3 linked regions of the Daphnia pulex genome follow. The protein of the gene in region 1 purifies or fractionates together with the protein of each later gene. This does not show direct contact. Links are inferred from orthologs where the notes say so. Each region holds a gene or a part of one and is shown on either strand. Other genes may lie near its edges.

Region 1 (5,554 bases):
ATAAAGAAACTAGACTGCTATTGATAACTGATTCCCTAAAATTGGAATTCAATTATTTTTCTGAAAAGTTAAACGATTTACTATCAGTAGGGTCAGAGCTATAGAATACTCTATAGTATATAGTATTCTTATGGTGTATTAGTACTAATACACCATGGTATTATCTATAGAATTCTATATGGTAGGGTTTTCGAAAATGATTTTTATCCGTAGTAACCACAACGCAGAGCTGTAGTAGTGTCAGTTACTAGTGTTACTATAGCTTTAACTTAATGAAACAAATTTATTGTTAACGATTTGAAAAGGAAAATTAATTTTATAAGACCCTCAAACTGATATGTACGATGACACTCAAATCATTTTTTAAAAAGTGTATTTTCTATTCCAGTAGTAGCTAATCCTTATTTTCAGATTCACTACTAGATGATTCACTCGAATCATCGCGATCGTCGGGGACTGTGGACAAGGACACTGGTGGTAACACAGTGTCAGCCAATGGAGCATTGCTTTTGGGTAGTTCCTCTTCCTGGTTTGATGGAGCGGATTCTTTTGCCATTTTCCAAGCTTTGGCCATAGCCAAGAGCTTAAGATTGGGTTTAGTAGCTTCATCCTCGGGGAAAATGTAGTCGAAATACTCTTCCCAACCAGCATCGGTCTAAAAAAAAAAAGAAAAGAAAAAAACATTGCAACGCACAAAATTTTGCATCTAAACGCAAAATATTATCACATACCCCATCTTGTGTTTGGATCCGCCTCCTCTTCTTCACACGTCTAGGCATCAAGTTAACAACCGCATTGCGAGATCCCTCATCTCCATATTCATATTCGAATTCTTGCCAAGCCTCCAACAACATCAATCGCTCCTCTTTGTTGGTAGCCACTTCAAGACCGACTGACTGAGCTATAGAACGTAGCGACCTAGTAACATAATGGGGAATTAAGAAGGTAATTTACGGAGGCTAATAGTTCAAAGCAAAGAAATGCGAACTTGTTTGCACGCTGGAAGACTGCTCTAGCTGCTGCGACTGGCAAACTTGGGTCCTCCTGCTGAGATGCTGCTAGAGTGAGCTCAAATTGAGCAAAACTCATCCAGACTTTTACGTGCTGCGTGCGTTCTAGAAGTCTCTCATATAACGATCGGGCTTTATCATTCTCCTCTTGTTCGATTTCAAAATCGATGTAAGCCTGAAGAACAAACACAACTCCATTAGGAATGAGATCTGTGCACATATTTAAAGTTTAATTTACCTTCCAAAGAATTTCTGGCATATCTAGTAGAGGCTGCTTGATGGCAAGCTCGTAAATGCCGCGAGCACGATCCACATCTCCCAGTAAAGTTTCTAGTTCGGCGAATTTCATCCAAGTGGTGCAATTTTCTGGACCGTTTTGGAGGAACTTTTCATACAATGTCCTGCAGCGGTCAAATTCTCTCAGCTGGATCTCCAAATCAATATATCCACGGAACAACTTGTTCTATAAATAACCAGATTTATTAAAAACTGGTTCATAGACTGGCCTCTAATTAGATTTCATATTTGAAAGAAAAAATACTGAAACATATTTACCTTTGGACATTTACCAATCGCAGTACCTAAAATTTTACGCGCCAATTGCAGATTTTTCTGTCGAACTTCGAAATGGGCGTAAAGGAGCCACATTTTGGCGAATGTGAAGTTACGATGCGGAATGAGCTTAAGACATGAATCGTAGACCTGTCGAGTTTTTTCATAATCTTCGGCTTCCAGTTCTTCGAAAAGTGCATAGTTAATCCACAGATAGATGTAACGACGCCAAAAGGACTTCTCAGCTACTAGCGGGATGTTGGCAATAGCTCTTTCGTATGTATCTCGCACTACTTCAACGTCAGCGTCACCTAAAGATACAATACACATTCGACACAATTCCTTAAAAATTTGATAGTAAGTCAAAATACCTTCACTTTCCATTAGGCGTAAATAATCAAACCATGCATCATAATTTGATGGATTTTCTTTAATTTCTTGTTCATACTGAAATTTTCTTTTACTGACAATAACGTCTTCTATAGCGTCACGCTCTCCAAATTTTTTCTGGTGAATTGTGTAGGCTTTGTACAATTCTGCTGCTTTATCTTTTGACATGTGTTCGAGAGCAAATTTGTAAATAGCAGTTGCTCGTTCATGTTCTTTTTGGCCCTCTTCAAACTTGGAAAAGGCTATGAAAAGCCTTTCGTCCATGTGATCATCACCATAAAAATCCACCGACCGTTCATACACCTGGCGGGCACCGATAATGTAACCGTTCCTTTCTTCAAACTTGGCATACTTGATCCAATTTTTTACTTCCGGGTGCACATAGACAAACCGTTCAAAAATTGAGCGAGCACGATCTAATTCTTTATACCTAGTTATTGGACAAAAATTGGACGTTGATAAGTGTAACGTTAGTATTTACTACATTTATTTACCTTAATTCAAAATTGATGTATGTTTGCCAAGCTTGTTCATCTGGCTGCCATTCCATCCACCTTTCAAATACTTGACGACAACCAGCTATATTGGCCAGCATTTCCTCCATGTAGGTATATTTATACCAAAACTGATTTGCTCTAGGCAAAATTGTAACTGCACGGTCCCACAAGTTTCTGGCATGATTGACTTGCTTATTTTTCATTTCCATTTCTGAATACTAAATTTTTTTAAAATTAGATATTTATTATTTCACAGATTTAACAAATGAAAATTAATTACCTTCAGCCAAAGGGTAATGTTACGATGGTCTACATCAAGAGCACGCTCAAAAACACTTCTGGCTCTTTGAATTTCTTTTTGGCTTTCTTCCCATTGAGCATACTTGATCCAGTTGGTAATAACATTACGATTACGCCGCAGAGCATCTTCAAAGGTTTTGCGTTTCTTGTACTGGTAGTCTGCTAACTCATCGGGATCTGAAATTTTTTGTTTAGGGGGCTAAAAATAGAAAATTTCTTACTTCAGTTCTTCAAGTTGTTATCTATTGCCGAAACACTTACTGGTGGAACAATTTCAAGATCACGTTCCTTAGCTTCCCGAAGCAACTGCTCAGCAGTGATTTGAATTTCTGCCGGTGTTTTGTTTTTAACCTAAAGAGAAATGTGTTATAAGTAATGTCAAGAGCATTCTTACATTTAAGTATTACAACCTTGGCAACTTTAGGAGGTTTTTGTGGTTTACCGAATCCACCCGAATCCATTTTAGATTACTTTTTAAATGAGCACTTGTAAAAAAAATAAAATAAGGTTTTAACAGATATGAGTCTATGACTGACACTTGGTACTGTAGTATTGAACTGACACGAGCAAGTGATGCTTCTTGCAGATTGCAGTTGCGCGAGCGCGACTCGTACGAACCGAACAGACGACGAATCGGACGTTGCCAGATTGATTGTTTACCAGCTTTCAACAGGTTTTTTGAAAGATTTTAACCGGATTTAGCACTTTTCAGGTTTCAGTTTTACAGGAATACTGGAATACACTCTATTTATTCTATAGTTTCAAGACATAAATATTGCAAATATCTGATAAGTGATAATGGCAAATTTTGTTTATTTTTCAGTAAATATCAAACAGCATAACAAGTTCCATTGCAATTCATTCTCCCGTATTCGCAACCCATCGACCAAATTATAATCATCGTTTAATATCGTTATTCTATGGACTGAAGTCCGACTATTTCACATCAATTTTTTTGTTTTATTTTCATGCTGAAAGTTCAGGCGGGCAATCTGGTTGTCGGCTCGGGTGAGCCTTTACGAAAGGCTCAAGAACTTCGAGATTCTTTTCCACACGAGCAATATTAGGAAACTGTGCCACGTCCACATCAAACCTTATTCAGACGAAGCGTGAGAAAAAGAGAACATGAAACGAATCATGGAAACTTTAGTCTTTACCTCCTTGCATTGTACAGTTGTGGGATAAGGCAACAATCAGCCATTGTAACATCATCTCCAACACAGTAATTTCCACTGGAAGTTTCTAATATTTTTTCTAATGCTGTAATAAAAAATTGGGTTTTTATATAAACTTTGCACATATTTCTTAGAGTTTATTAATTTTTTTATTGATATATTCATGAAGATCTTCACCTACCAGTGAGTCCTTTGAAAATCCACTTAGCAGCCCAATCTTTCTGTTTAGATTCTTCAAATTGTTTAAGTACAGCCAAATTCTGTAAGGGTTGAATCCCAGAACCAATAATTTCACATATTTCTCTCACTTTGAATCTAATCACACCATCTTTTGGCAATAAGGGTTTTAAAGGATAAGATTCTTCTAAATATTCCAAAATAGCTACCTAAATGTACAGGAGATGGAAGTAAAAATTATGCATTGAAATTTGAACTGGAAGGTCTTATATATCTATAGTGTCATATTCATATAGTGTCCCTCTTACCGACTGAGTGAAAACTTTGTCCCCAATTGTTAGTGATGGAACTTGAGCCATGGGGTTTATGATTTTATAGTCATCAGCATTCTAAATACATAGAAAAATATGCCAGCGGTATTTTAGCTATTTATATGGGTTTAACTGTGAACATTGTGATGATTTAATAATTTTAAAATTTAGTACCTGCTGACCACCTCCCTTCACTAAATGAACAGCTTTGTATTCATATTCAATTTCTTTAAATTCTAGAGCTAAATAAATACTTTCATGTAAATTAATCTTAAAGATATATTTATTTACGTTTTTTACCTATACGCACTCTCCATGAACACGAACTTCGAAAATATGAGTATAGTACAACCTAAAAACGAAAAATTGATACAAGAGCTTTTTATAAAACTTATTTTAATTGAATTACCGTGCTCATTATTCTATCTACGCTATCACTTGTGAATGTCAACTTTAAAGCAGTCGACTACTCAACCTGACTCAACTACCCGAACGTAGTTTTGGGGGATTACAAGAAAGAAAGCCTTGAGGGTCAAACAGACAAACAAGCACATAGGAATTCGTGACGATCACCTTCGGGGATTCGAATGTAGCGGCACTAGACCCAACCTGGTCCTAGACGCTAGTACGCATGACCTACTATATTTAACACAGCCGCGGCAACTTCCTTCTGTTTAAAATTTGAGCGAAACCAGTTTTTTTCATATTTGCGAACGAAGATTAGGAAAGGGCTTATTGTCGAAAAACATAGTACATCTTTGTCTGAAAACAGGCGCAAGGTTTTTTTTTGTTAGAATAAAATAATAATCTAAATTTAAGTTAAAGAATTTTCATTTAATTTAGTAATCAATAAAAATTTCTATAATCAGTTTTCTTTTATGTCAATATCATATTTCTTTACAAATTATTATACATCATGTTTTCCAAAAGTATTGATCAAATACATCACATAAGCAGGCAATGAAACAAATGCAAAAAAGTAAAAATCCATCTCAATAATTAAGGCCCACAAAGTGTTCCAAGAGGTTTCCTAAATAAGTTCATTTCAATTCCCGTAGTGTTGTACGGATAGAGCTAGGTGTGTTCTGCTAAAAACTATATAATTGTTAAAACATCAGTATTTAAGAGACTAATAAGAGGCA
Region 2 (5,426 bases), on another chromosome or scaffold:
CGACAGAGTGAAAGAAATAAGCTTGCACGAGAGAAGCAACTACGCGAAACAGCTGAACGTGAAAAAGCAGCCCTAGAACAACAGTTAATTCACTTTCAGGAAGAATTCCGTGTAGCGAACGAACAGTTGGTATGATATTCTTCAGTTTAATTTTTAGTTTTAGTATCAAGTACAGTATTTCATTATACCAATTTTGTAGAGGCGTTCCGAAGAGTCGGCTGAGCTGCTGGCCGAAAAGGCGCGAGTTGCAGAAGAAGAGTCAATGTTGTTAACTCAAAAAGCCTCAGACGCTGAACAAGAGTTGCAAAGAATTCGTTTATCTGCCATGAAAGTAAGTGAATTTTTTCATAACTTATTTAGGTAGCTTTACATTTAATTGTCTTTTTGCGTCTAGACCGAAGAGGAAAAACTTTTGTCTCAGAGACAATTACATGAGGCGAAGCAAATTGCCTCAAGGTTATTAGAGAATTCTGAGCGTTGTGCAGCAGAAGCAGAGCAGCTAAAAGGTGACCTTTTGCAGGCCCGTTACGCTGAAACTCAAGCCAAAAAGAAGCTACTAGAGTTTTTAACAACACAAGCTAGTGTTGCAGCCTTACACTCGGCATCTCGTCCAATTACACGCATCCCGTCGTCCGCGTCTGTCCTGGTACTTTGCAGTTTCTGTCAACATTTTAATGAGCGAATAACTACAATTACCATTTTTCAGTCTGTTCCCAACTTGTTTCCGACATCAAGTTCGTCGGTAGCTGGATCAGACCACCATTTACATCATCAGTCGGACATTCAGCAACATTTACGACGACTCGACGATGTCTCTAACGAAGCAAGTTTGCCGGCTTATGAGGCCCGCCTTCCTATTCCGCTGGCTAATCAGCTTACTGGCCTCACCAACTTAACTGGCTTAAGTAGTAGTGGATATCTATCAGCTATTGCTGCTTCCGAACTGGTCAACTCTTCATCCAACTATGACCTTATGACACATGGCGATATGGAGCAACTCTCACTTGAAATTGAGAAAGAGAGGTTGTAAATCTATCGTAGGAATTGTTGCGTAATTGTTTGCTCATTTTTTAAAATAAATTTAGAGTCGAATACTTGGAAAAATCGAAGCAACTGCAGGAGCAACTGAGAGAATTGCGTACAGAGATTGAAGTCTTGAAAGTAGGTGAAAAACAAACGCTTTACGATCAGCTACACGAAGAGCAACTCCGTTCAGGGGACGACAAATACTCAACTCTCAAAAAGGTACGCATGAATGAGAGTCATTAATTCAAATTTGAGTTAATTTTTCTTTTTTTCCTAGTCAAAATCTGGATCGACTGGAGCGCGCGTGGCCTTTTTCGAAGAGCTGTAGCTTAAGTCATATTTTTAATTTTACTTTTGACAATGTGTTGTACATAAATTTTAAATTGGCTGACCATTTTCATGGATGCAACTTAGTTTATAATCTTTAATTCACTAAGTTGCCCATTTTCGTGAAATCTTATCATCATAGACATTAGACAAATAGACTTTCATTTAAAAAAAACTTAACTCTTGTTGACTAATGAGTAATGTCTTTTACTAGTAGCAGCATCGGCGTTGTTTACATTCTTATATGAATTTTGCAAAATGAACCTGTATGTCTAGAATACCAATTCAATATGAACATGGAAAAGTTTCATTCAAATTCAAACACAAAATGCAGAGAACCGAGAAAGATTAGATAATTCTTCATTTCAATCTGTGAAACGCAAAAGTTAACAAATTCATTTCGAAAAAATGTAAATATTTTTTGCGCGCAATGTTGCCAGTTCATCTATTAATTTTGATTTTTCTTTTACAGCATTCTTGCAACGTTGTCTTAACAACGAAAGCATTCGTTTTTTCGTCGGCTCGTCAATTTCCACATTCGTCGCCATCCCAATTGTTGTGCTGTCAATTTGTAAATGATTTAATAAGTGGCAAAATATCCTATATCATCATGGATGAATTAGAGAAACTCGAACACCTGTCGCTTGTTTCTAAGGTGTGCACAGAATTGGAAAACCATTTGGGACTCAACGATAAAGATCTGGCAGAGTTCATCATCGCATTGGCCGAAAAACACAAGACCTTTGATGAGTTCAAAAGTGTAATGCTGGAGAATGGCGCCGAGTTTTCAGACTCTCTCATTGCAAATTTGCTTCGTCTTATCAAACACATGAAATCAGCCAACTCGAAAACAACTGATGTGAACTTAGCCCAGGTAAAGAAAACAGTTTACAATGCAGAAACAGAGAAGAAACGGGAACTCTTCCCTGGTCTTGCCTTAGCAGATAACCCTAAGGCAAGAACAATGCTTCTCGAAGACATAAAATTGACTATTAAAGATGTTGAAGAAGCTAACGATTTAATGGCTGAACTAGAAGCCATGGCTCCTAAAGAAGAAAAGATTTCTACTGAAGCAATCGAGCCTGTTCAGGAAAGAGCAAGGAGTAAAGACAAGAAGGAAAGAAGCAGACGTTCAAGAAGCAAGGACCGCAGCAGAAGATCAAGAAGCAGAGACCGCAGCAAGAGATCCAGAAGCAGAGACCGAAGTAGAAGGTCAAGAAGCAGAGATCAAAAGAGGAGATCAAGAAGCAGGGACAGAAGTCACAGGTCCAGGAGTACAGATAGAGGAGATCGAAACAGAACAAGTGATCGTCATCATGATAAAAGAAGTAACGAAGGCAGACGAGAATCCCCAAGTCGAAAGAAACCTCAAAAAGATTTTCCAGAGAATCCAGAAGTGGGAAATGTCTACGCGGGAAAAATCATGAATCTTGCAGCTTTTGGTTGTTTTGTACAAATTGAAGGAATACGGAAAAAATGTGAGGGTCTAGTGCACATCTCCCAGTTGCGACGAGAAGGCCGTGTGAATAGTGTGGCTGAAGTTGTCAATCGTGGAGATAAGGTTCATGTCAAAGTTATGAGCATTGCTGGCCAAAAGATCTCTCTTTCTATGAAAGATGTGGACCAAGACACTGGCGAAGATTTGAACCCAGCTCCTTCGACGTCAAGCCGCCCTGGACTAACCAGCCAGGAAAGTGAAACAGCTTTAAGGAATCCAGATCGACCTCTCTCATTGCTAGATTTGAAGGCAAATGTAGAGGAGGATGAACTAACCAACCGCAAGCGTGTGCAACGGATTTCGTCTCCTGAACGCTGGGAACTGAAGCAAATGATGGCAGCAAATTGTATCGACAAAATGGACTTGCCCGAATTCGACGAAGAAACGGGTTTACTGCCAAAGCTGGCCGAAGACGAAGAAGATATCGAAATCGAGTTGGTGGAAGAAGAGGCACCCTTTCTTCGAGGTCACGGTCGAGTGCTTAATGAACTTAGTCCGGTTCGTATCGTCAAGAATCCCGACGGTTCTCTAGCTCAAGCCGCCATGATGCAAGGCGCTCTCAGCAAAGAACGCCGCGAACAGAAAATGTTGCTCAGAGAAGAACAAGAAGCAGCTGACGCACCGGCTCAAGGCGCCAACAAGACCTGGATTGATCCCATGCCGGATGCTGGGGCTGCACCGTCAACGTCGTTGGGTCGCGGAACGGGAGCCCCTGTATACGACATGCCCGAATGGAAAAAGCACATCACTGGTGGACCGAAAGGAGCCTCTTTCGGCAAGAAAACTAGTTTGTCCATCGTCGAGCAACGTCAATCACTTCCCATCTACAAACTCAGAGATGAACTGATCAAAGCTGTCAATGACAACCAAATCCTAATTGTCATCGGTGAGACGGGCTCGGGAAAAACTACGCAAATCACTCAATATCTATCCGAGTCCGGATTCACGGCTCGTGGAAAGATCGGCTGTACGCAGCCTCGTCGTGTGGCCGCCATGTCCGTTGCCAAGCGAGTTTCGGAAGAGTTTGGTTGTCGTCTAGGACAGGAAGTTGGATACACGATTCGTTTTGAAGATTGCACCAGTCCTGAAACTTTGATCAAGTACATGACGGATGGTATGTTGCTGCGTGAATGCTTGATTGATCCCGATCTGCAATCGTATTCCTGCATCATGTTGGACGAAGCCCACGAAAGAACTATTCACACAGACGTTCTTTTCGGTCTTCTCAAGCAAGCCGTCCAGAAGCGAGCCGAACTCAAACTCATCGTAACGTCGGCCACTTTGGATGCCGTGAAATTCTCGCAGTACTTTTTCGAGGCGCCCATCTTCACCATTCCGGGTCGAACTTTTCCCGTCGAGATATTGTATACTCGGGAACCTGAGACGGATTACTTGGATGCCTCGCTCATTACCGTCATGCAGATCCACCTTAACGAACCACCGGGCGACATTCTTCTTTTCTTGACTGGTCAGGAAGAGATCGATACTGCCTGCGAAATTCTATACGAGCGCATGAAGTCCATGGGCCCTGACGTTCCTGAGCTCATCATTCTTCCCGTCTATTCCGCTCTACCGTCTGAAATGCAAACTCGAATTTTCGAACCGGCTCCACCAGGCTCCCGAAAAGTTGTTATCGCCACCAACATCGCCGAGACCAGTCTTACCATCGACGGTATCTACTATGTCGTCGATCCTGGTTTTGTCAAGCAGAAAGTCTACAATTCCAAGACCGGAATGGACTCTTTGGTGGTGACACCCATTTCACAGGCGCAAGCCAAGCAGCGAGCTGGTCGCGCCGGTCGTACTGGACCTGGAAAGACTTACCGCTTGTACACGGAGCGAGCTTATCGTGATGAAATGCTTGCCACGCCTGTTCCCGAGATCCAGCGTACTAATCTCGCTTCCACTGTCCTGCAACTCAAAGCTATGGGCATCAATGACCTGCTCAACTTCGACTTCATGGACGCTCCTCCTGTGGAGTCACTTATCATGGCACTTGAACAGCTGCATTCCCTTTCCGCTCTAGACGACGAAGGATTACTCACGCGTCTTGGTCGACGTATGGCCGAATTTCCTCTGGAGCCTTCTCTCTCCAAGATGCTCATCATGTCTGTTCACTTGGTATGATATTATCAACAATTGTTCCTGATCGATGTAATTGACGTTTTAAAAATTTTTGTTTTAGATGTGTTCGGACGAAATTTTGACAGTCGTGTCCATGTTGTCAGTTCAGAACGTCTTCTACCGACCCAAAGATAAGCAACAGTTGGCTGATCAGAAGAAAGCCAAATTCAATCAAGCCGAAGGAGATCACATCACTTTATTGGCCGTTTACAATTCCTGGAAGAACAACAAGTTTAGCAGTGCCTGGTGTTACGAGAATTTCGTTCAGATGCGTACCTTAAAACGAGCTCAGGATGTTCGTAAACAGCTATTGGGCATTATGGACAGGTATGTTTAGTCTTTGATGCAAATTGTATTATCCGTTCAAAAATCTAACATTTGTTCTTCTACACTTTCCAGGCACAAATTGGACGTGGTATCGGCTGGCAAGAATACGGCTAGGGTGCAGAAA
Region 3 (4,702 bases), on another chromosome or scaffold:
GCTCTTGTGTTGACACAAAACCAAGCCCACTGGAAAAGTTCGAGTGAGAGGGTTGAGCCGTATATCTTTCTCCATATTGCAAAGATTTTTTCATATTTTTTTAAGACAAAGTTTTGATTACACATTATTTTCTCTTGAAGAAAGCTGGGCAGGACAGCTATTTCTTGGCTTTTACACAATCCACCAACTGAGAAGCTCTTTGGTAATGTTGAAATGTATGAAGAGTACAGTCCATTAAACTTGGAGTTCAAAATGAAGAAAGTTAGACATTCTGCTGTAGTCATACTGAACTGTAGTAAGTCAGGAATCTCTGCCAAAACTTTTTCTTTAGTGATAAGAAGACTTTGGGGGATCTGGACTAGCAGATGGTTAGGAGCTATGTTAGACATAGCCATGAGACCTCGTCCAGTGCTATTAAACAGAGCTGGCTTTGTAACTAAACAATTTTTTGACACAGCATTCCAACCATTCGCACTCATCCATTTACAAAGTTCAACGAATTCTGAATGTGAATCAATCCGAAGTGGGCGAGAATGCACAATTCGAACCAACCTGTTTCGGATTCTAGATGTTCGTCCCATGTTTTTTTATAATGGAAATATATTTAATTTAACACCACAACTTTATACCACATTCATATTCTCACAGTTTTTCAATAAACTCACGGCGGTTTTCTTTTCGAATAGAGATGAAACAATTGGTTAAAATGAAATTTACGGCTGCTTACACTTGACTTCAAATCTTACTGAGTTTACACTTTACACATTTTGTTTACATCAGAGTGATCAGACGACTATGAGTTGACAGTGACAGGAATAGGGACGGGTGGGTTGAATCCGAAGTGGCTAGTCCGCTTTCATATGTATGGTTTGAGATGTAGCCCTTTACGCACCAGGAAGTGCTTGATTTCTAGTACATCTTTTGGATCCTAGGGCAAAATGCACGCCACTAGAGGCGCTATGCCCACGAAGTGAACGAACTAATGCTTGTCGCTTGACAGCTCTTTTTATACTAAATGCTATCCAGCACTCCCTAATGCATTAAAAAGGACGTTGCCTTCCCCCAAGCCTAGAGAGTAGAGACGTAGCAGTAGATACGTCTAAATAATTTTTTTACTTGACATAAATCATTTTCTATGATAGCCTAGCCTTAAGCCCTTAACTTTCCAAATTAATTAAAAAGAAAACCGTTATTCGTACGCAGGTACACTATCCCTTAACGGAAGTGTGAAAAAACAGGTTCGGTTTTAATTGAATAACTGAAACGCTATTCATCACAAAGAGAAAGATTTGAAAATAAATGCGGAACTTGCATTTGAGACAACCAGACGTCAACGAAAAAGAAGTGCGCGTTATTAAGATCTACCTCTAAAATTTATGCGATCTCTTTTGTCGTTAAAGAAAATCGGCCCAAATATTATATATTTTGAGATAAAATCCGCGGGTTAATGTCAATGGATTTATTAGATCCAATTCCTTGTTGTAGTTATTATATACCAGAGAGATGTATATTTTTCCTATATCACTGGCAAAACCAACAGTCAGATTCACGTCGATGTCCGTTAAATTTTTCTTAAATTTTTGGTTTAGTGCTTTAGTCTCAATTTTAAAAAAATTCCGCGATCCTCCCATCAGATACCTTAAAGTAGCAGCGAAGAAGCAACAAGTTTACTAGTTTTGGAGTAGCCTTTTTATTTTGCGTTTATTTGAATTTATTTTGATTCAAATAAAATAATCTGATGGGCTATTTGAATTTGGAAAAATCTCCAAAAAGTCGCTAAAAAGCGGAACAGCCACTTTGGTTCTAGCTCTACTGATCGTATAACGAAGCGAAACATGCTGTCTGCAGTCTCTGCACTCTGACGAACGTGTTTGACTGTTTGCCCACGCCAGTTTTCAGTTTGATTAGTCTGCAACCTGTGAATCGGTATTTTATTATTGTCCTCACTGTGCATAATAATAAGGAAGGTTTAGACAGTGATATTTATATATTACTCATTAGCTTATGGGGATGCTTTGAACATTGAGAATTTCAATACTTTACGTAAAGTTTTTGAACACGTAACCTCGATTCTTGATAATCTTTCTTGTGGTGCATTCAAATTTGTGCCGCAACATGTCATCTAACAATGCCAAGCGAAACATCTATGTCGGTAAGATCAAATAACATATTTCAGTCTTACGAAATGTAATGCTTACTGTGATTCATTTTAACAGGTGGCCTTCCTGATGAGGCAGATGAATCAGTAGTGCGTGCAGCCTTTATTCCTTTCGGAGAAATTGTTAATATAGAAATACCTCCAGATTATGAAAATCATGAAAAACATAGAGGTTTCTCTTTTATTGAGTATGAACTAGCTGAAGATGCTGCTGCCGCAATTGATAACATGGTATTCTCACAATTTCTTACAGTTTATCTAGTAAACAAATATTTAATTACTTGCCATCATGGATGCCTTTCTTTCAGAATGATTCTGAGTTGTTTGGCAAAACAATTACTGTAAACATTGCAAGACCTCGGAAAATTAAGGAAGGATATTCTAGACCAGTTTGGTCAGAGGATTCTTGGTTGCAAAAATATGCTGGAAAGACAGAAGAAAATAAAAATCCAGTGGAGGAAAACAATAAGGAATCAACTGAAGGGAAAGACAATGTTTCTGAATCTGAAACTAAGTCAGCAGTTTCTAAAAAGCCTCGCGGCAACCCTCAAGTGTACATGGATCTTAAAGCTGGAAAAATCAATTTGGGCAGAATAATTATTTTATTGAGAGCTGATGTCGCCCCTAAAACATCTGAAAATTTTCTTGCTCTCTGCACTCATGAAAAAGGTTATGGATTCATGAATTCCAGTTTTCATCGTATTATTCCAGGATTTGTAAGCGGAAAGCTCAGTTTTAATCAATATTTATTTTTATTAACGTTCTTTTGCAAAAGATGTGTCAAGGTGGTGATTTTACTAACGGTGATGGAACCGGTGGTCGATCAATTTTCGGTGGAAACGGGAAATTCGAAGACGAAAATTTTACGTTGAAGCACAACGGTCCTGGTATTCTGTCTATGGCGAATTCAGGCCCAAATTCAAATGGATCCCAATTTTTTCTAACCCTTGACAAAGCAGAATGGTAGGTTTTTTCCCTGTTAAAATATCATAGTTATAATGCTAATAGCACCTTTATGTTTTCAAAGGTTGGATAACAAGCACGTCGTATTTGGTCAACTTCTTGCCGGCCTAGATGTTTTACGTAAAGTGGAGAAGTACGGAACAAAGTCTGGTAAACCGACTGACAAAGTCATTATGTCCGCCTGTGGAGAACTATTGTAACACATGAATAAAAGAAGCTTTTTTTTAACTACATTGTTTAATGACCAATGTCTTGTGCTCATGAAAAATATAAACAAACAAATTGATTGGACTACAGTATATTCCAACCCTCTTCCCTCCCGGAAAAAAACAAAAAAACAAAAGAAAAACATTAACGTCATGGGTCCTTTAATTTTCGTTGAGATTTTCATATTGATTGATCCAGCTATGAATCAAATCTTGGATGTAATTGTCTTGCAGGTCTTTGGGTATCCGCGGTCCCGGATAATTCAATTCTTTATTTAATGCGCCTGTTAGTTCATCTAAACAAGTAAAATAATTGGTATGTTTACAGGAAATTCCCAAGTTTGACATTTTTTAGACACTGTAAGGTATTTGAATGAAAAAAGATATTTACTAATATTCATATTAGGCCACAAATCTTGCTTCTGATTCATAATGGGAATTTCATTGGATATACGGCCAAAAGGTTCCTCCCCAACCATTGCCGCCCGACCAGACTTCGAAAGATATATATATTTTTTTTTAAGTTTAGAAATAATTATCTGATTTTTTACGTCTACTGTGGACTACACACCTCCGTGGAAATATCCTTGCGCCTACCCAAACGAGGAACCGCCTTTGATGCCTTCAGAAAAAAATTAGAGAGACTTCCTTCGTGAGGAAAAGATTCTGAATTCATGTATTCAGCGATGATTCCTTCACCTCGTCGGCCGATTCGAGGAATCTTTTGTCGAAACCTATTATAATTCGGATTAAACGGTTCCGGGCTGGGATCTGATAAGGCAGACGCCAGCAGTAGCCACGTTAAAAACAGTCCTTGATTTAACAAAACGACATTAGTTGGTTCACTTTGTACTGTAAAGCAAGAATTAAATTCAAATATAAAAACCTTTTATCATTATTAGCTCTCGATACATGATCACTGTAACAGGAATAAGTTGATCTCTGTCCAACTGCGACAACTGAGCGTGACAACTGAACGCAAAACTACCATCTAACCGTGTTATAAAGGATTTTCCCCATTTCCATTTTTTAATTTTACATCATGCGGATGACATACGGGTTTTGACATATGGGGACACAGTATTGCTATTGCCCCCATCTTTCCGTATTATTTGTTTCAGTGAGGTTGATGTCGTCAATAACGCAGCAGGACTTCACTGTATAATATACATAATAAAAATTACCATCACCAGCAGCATTGTCTGATACGGGTCGGTTCGACGACAATCATGCGTAGTATTGTACTGGATTTAAGCTGTTTAGTGGCCGAACATAAAACCTTAACTGCTTAACCATAAAATATGTTCTAAGTTTGCTTTAAAAATTTTTTAATATTCAGTAACATATCAGGAAATCATTTTTGCAAACCTTGAAT

Evidence for each region.
Region 2: the proteins of crooked neck-like protein 1 (region 1) and ATP-dependent RNA helicase DHX8-like purify together in Homo sapiens (affinity purification with mass spectrometry; 3 studies listed by BioGRID and IntAct, counting the BioPlex papers as one, with this or other methods). This does not show direct contact. The link is inferred for Daphnia pulex from reciprocal best matches to the Homo sapiens genes CRNKL1 and DHX8.
Region 3: the proteins of crooked neck-like protein 1 (region 1) and peptidyl-prolyl cis-trans isomerase E-like purify together in Homo sapiens (affinity purification with mass spectrometry; 3 studies listed by BioGRID and IntAct, counting the BioPlex papers as one, with this or other methods). This does not show direct contact. The link is inferred for Daphnia pulex from reciprocal best matches to the Homo sapiens genes CRNKL1 and PPIE.

Annotation. Positions count from the first base shown.
Region 1 is NC_060026.1:11,198,761-11,204,314, forward strand, and holds crooked neck-like protein 1, read right to left. Parts: upstream 3,302-5,554; 5' UTR 3,211-3,301; coding exon 3,160-3,210; exon of another isoform or gene 3,157-3,159; intron 3,101-3,156; coding exon 3,011-3,100; intron 2,949-3,010; coding exon 2,730-2,948; intron 2,668-2,729; coding exon 2,447-2,667; intron 2,383-2,446; coding exon 1,934-2,382; intron 1,874-1,933; coding exon 1,566-1,873; intron 1,474-1,565; coding exon 1,249-1,473; intron 1,186-1,248; coding exon 989-1,185; intron 919-988; coding exon 732-918; intron 656-731; coding exon 395-655; 3' UTR 357-394; downstream 1-356. Other genes in the region: probable maleylacetoacetate isomerase 2, read right to left, coding at 3,716-3,842, 3,907-4,009, 4,106-4,310, 4,410-4,490, 4,587-4,654, 4,713-4,764, 4,822-4,830; myosin-2 heavy chain-like, read right to left, coding at 5,453-5,500. UniProt on the Homo sapiens protein: Involved in pre-mRNA splicing process. As a component of the minor spliceosome, involved in the splicing of U12-type introns in pre-mRNAs.
Region 2 is NC_060022.1:2,535,472-2,540,897, reverse strand, and holds the start of ATP-dependent RNA helicase DHX8-like, read left to right. Parts: upstream 1-1,831; 5' UTR 1,832-1,963; coding exon 1,964-4,972; intron 4,973-5,036; coding exon 5,037-5,302; intron 5,303-5,374; coding exon 5,375-5,426. Other genes in the region: merlin-like, read left to right, coding at 1-129, 200-331, 395-646, 707-1,023, 1,086-1,245, 1,304-1,354.
Region 3 is NC_060020.1:8,629,123-8,633,824, forward strand, and holds peptidyl-prolyl cis-trans isomerase E-like, read left to right. Parts: upstream 1-1,816; 5' UTR 1,817-2,115; coding exon 2,116-2,152; intron 2,153-2,216; coding exon 2,217-2,389; intron 2,390-2,466; coding exon 2,467-2,874; intron 2,875-2,933; coding exon 2,934-3,121; intron 3,122-3,185; coding exon 3,186-3,321; 3' UTR 3,322-3,407; downstream 3,408-4,702. Other genes in the region: uncharacterized protein LOC124191929, read right to left, coding at 3,490-3,623, 3,719-3,821, 3,899-4,140, 4,214-4,241. UniProt on the Homo sapiens protein: Involved in pre-mRNA splicing as component of the spliceosome. Combines RNA-binding and PPIase activities.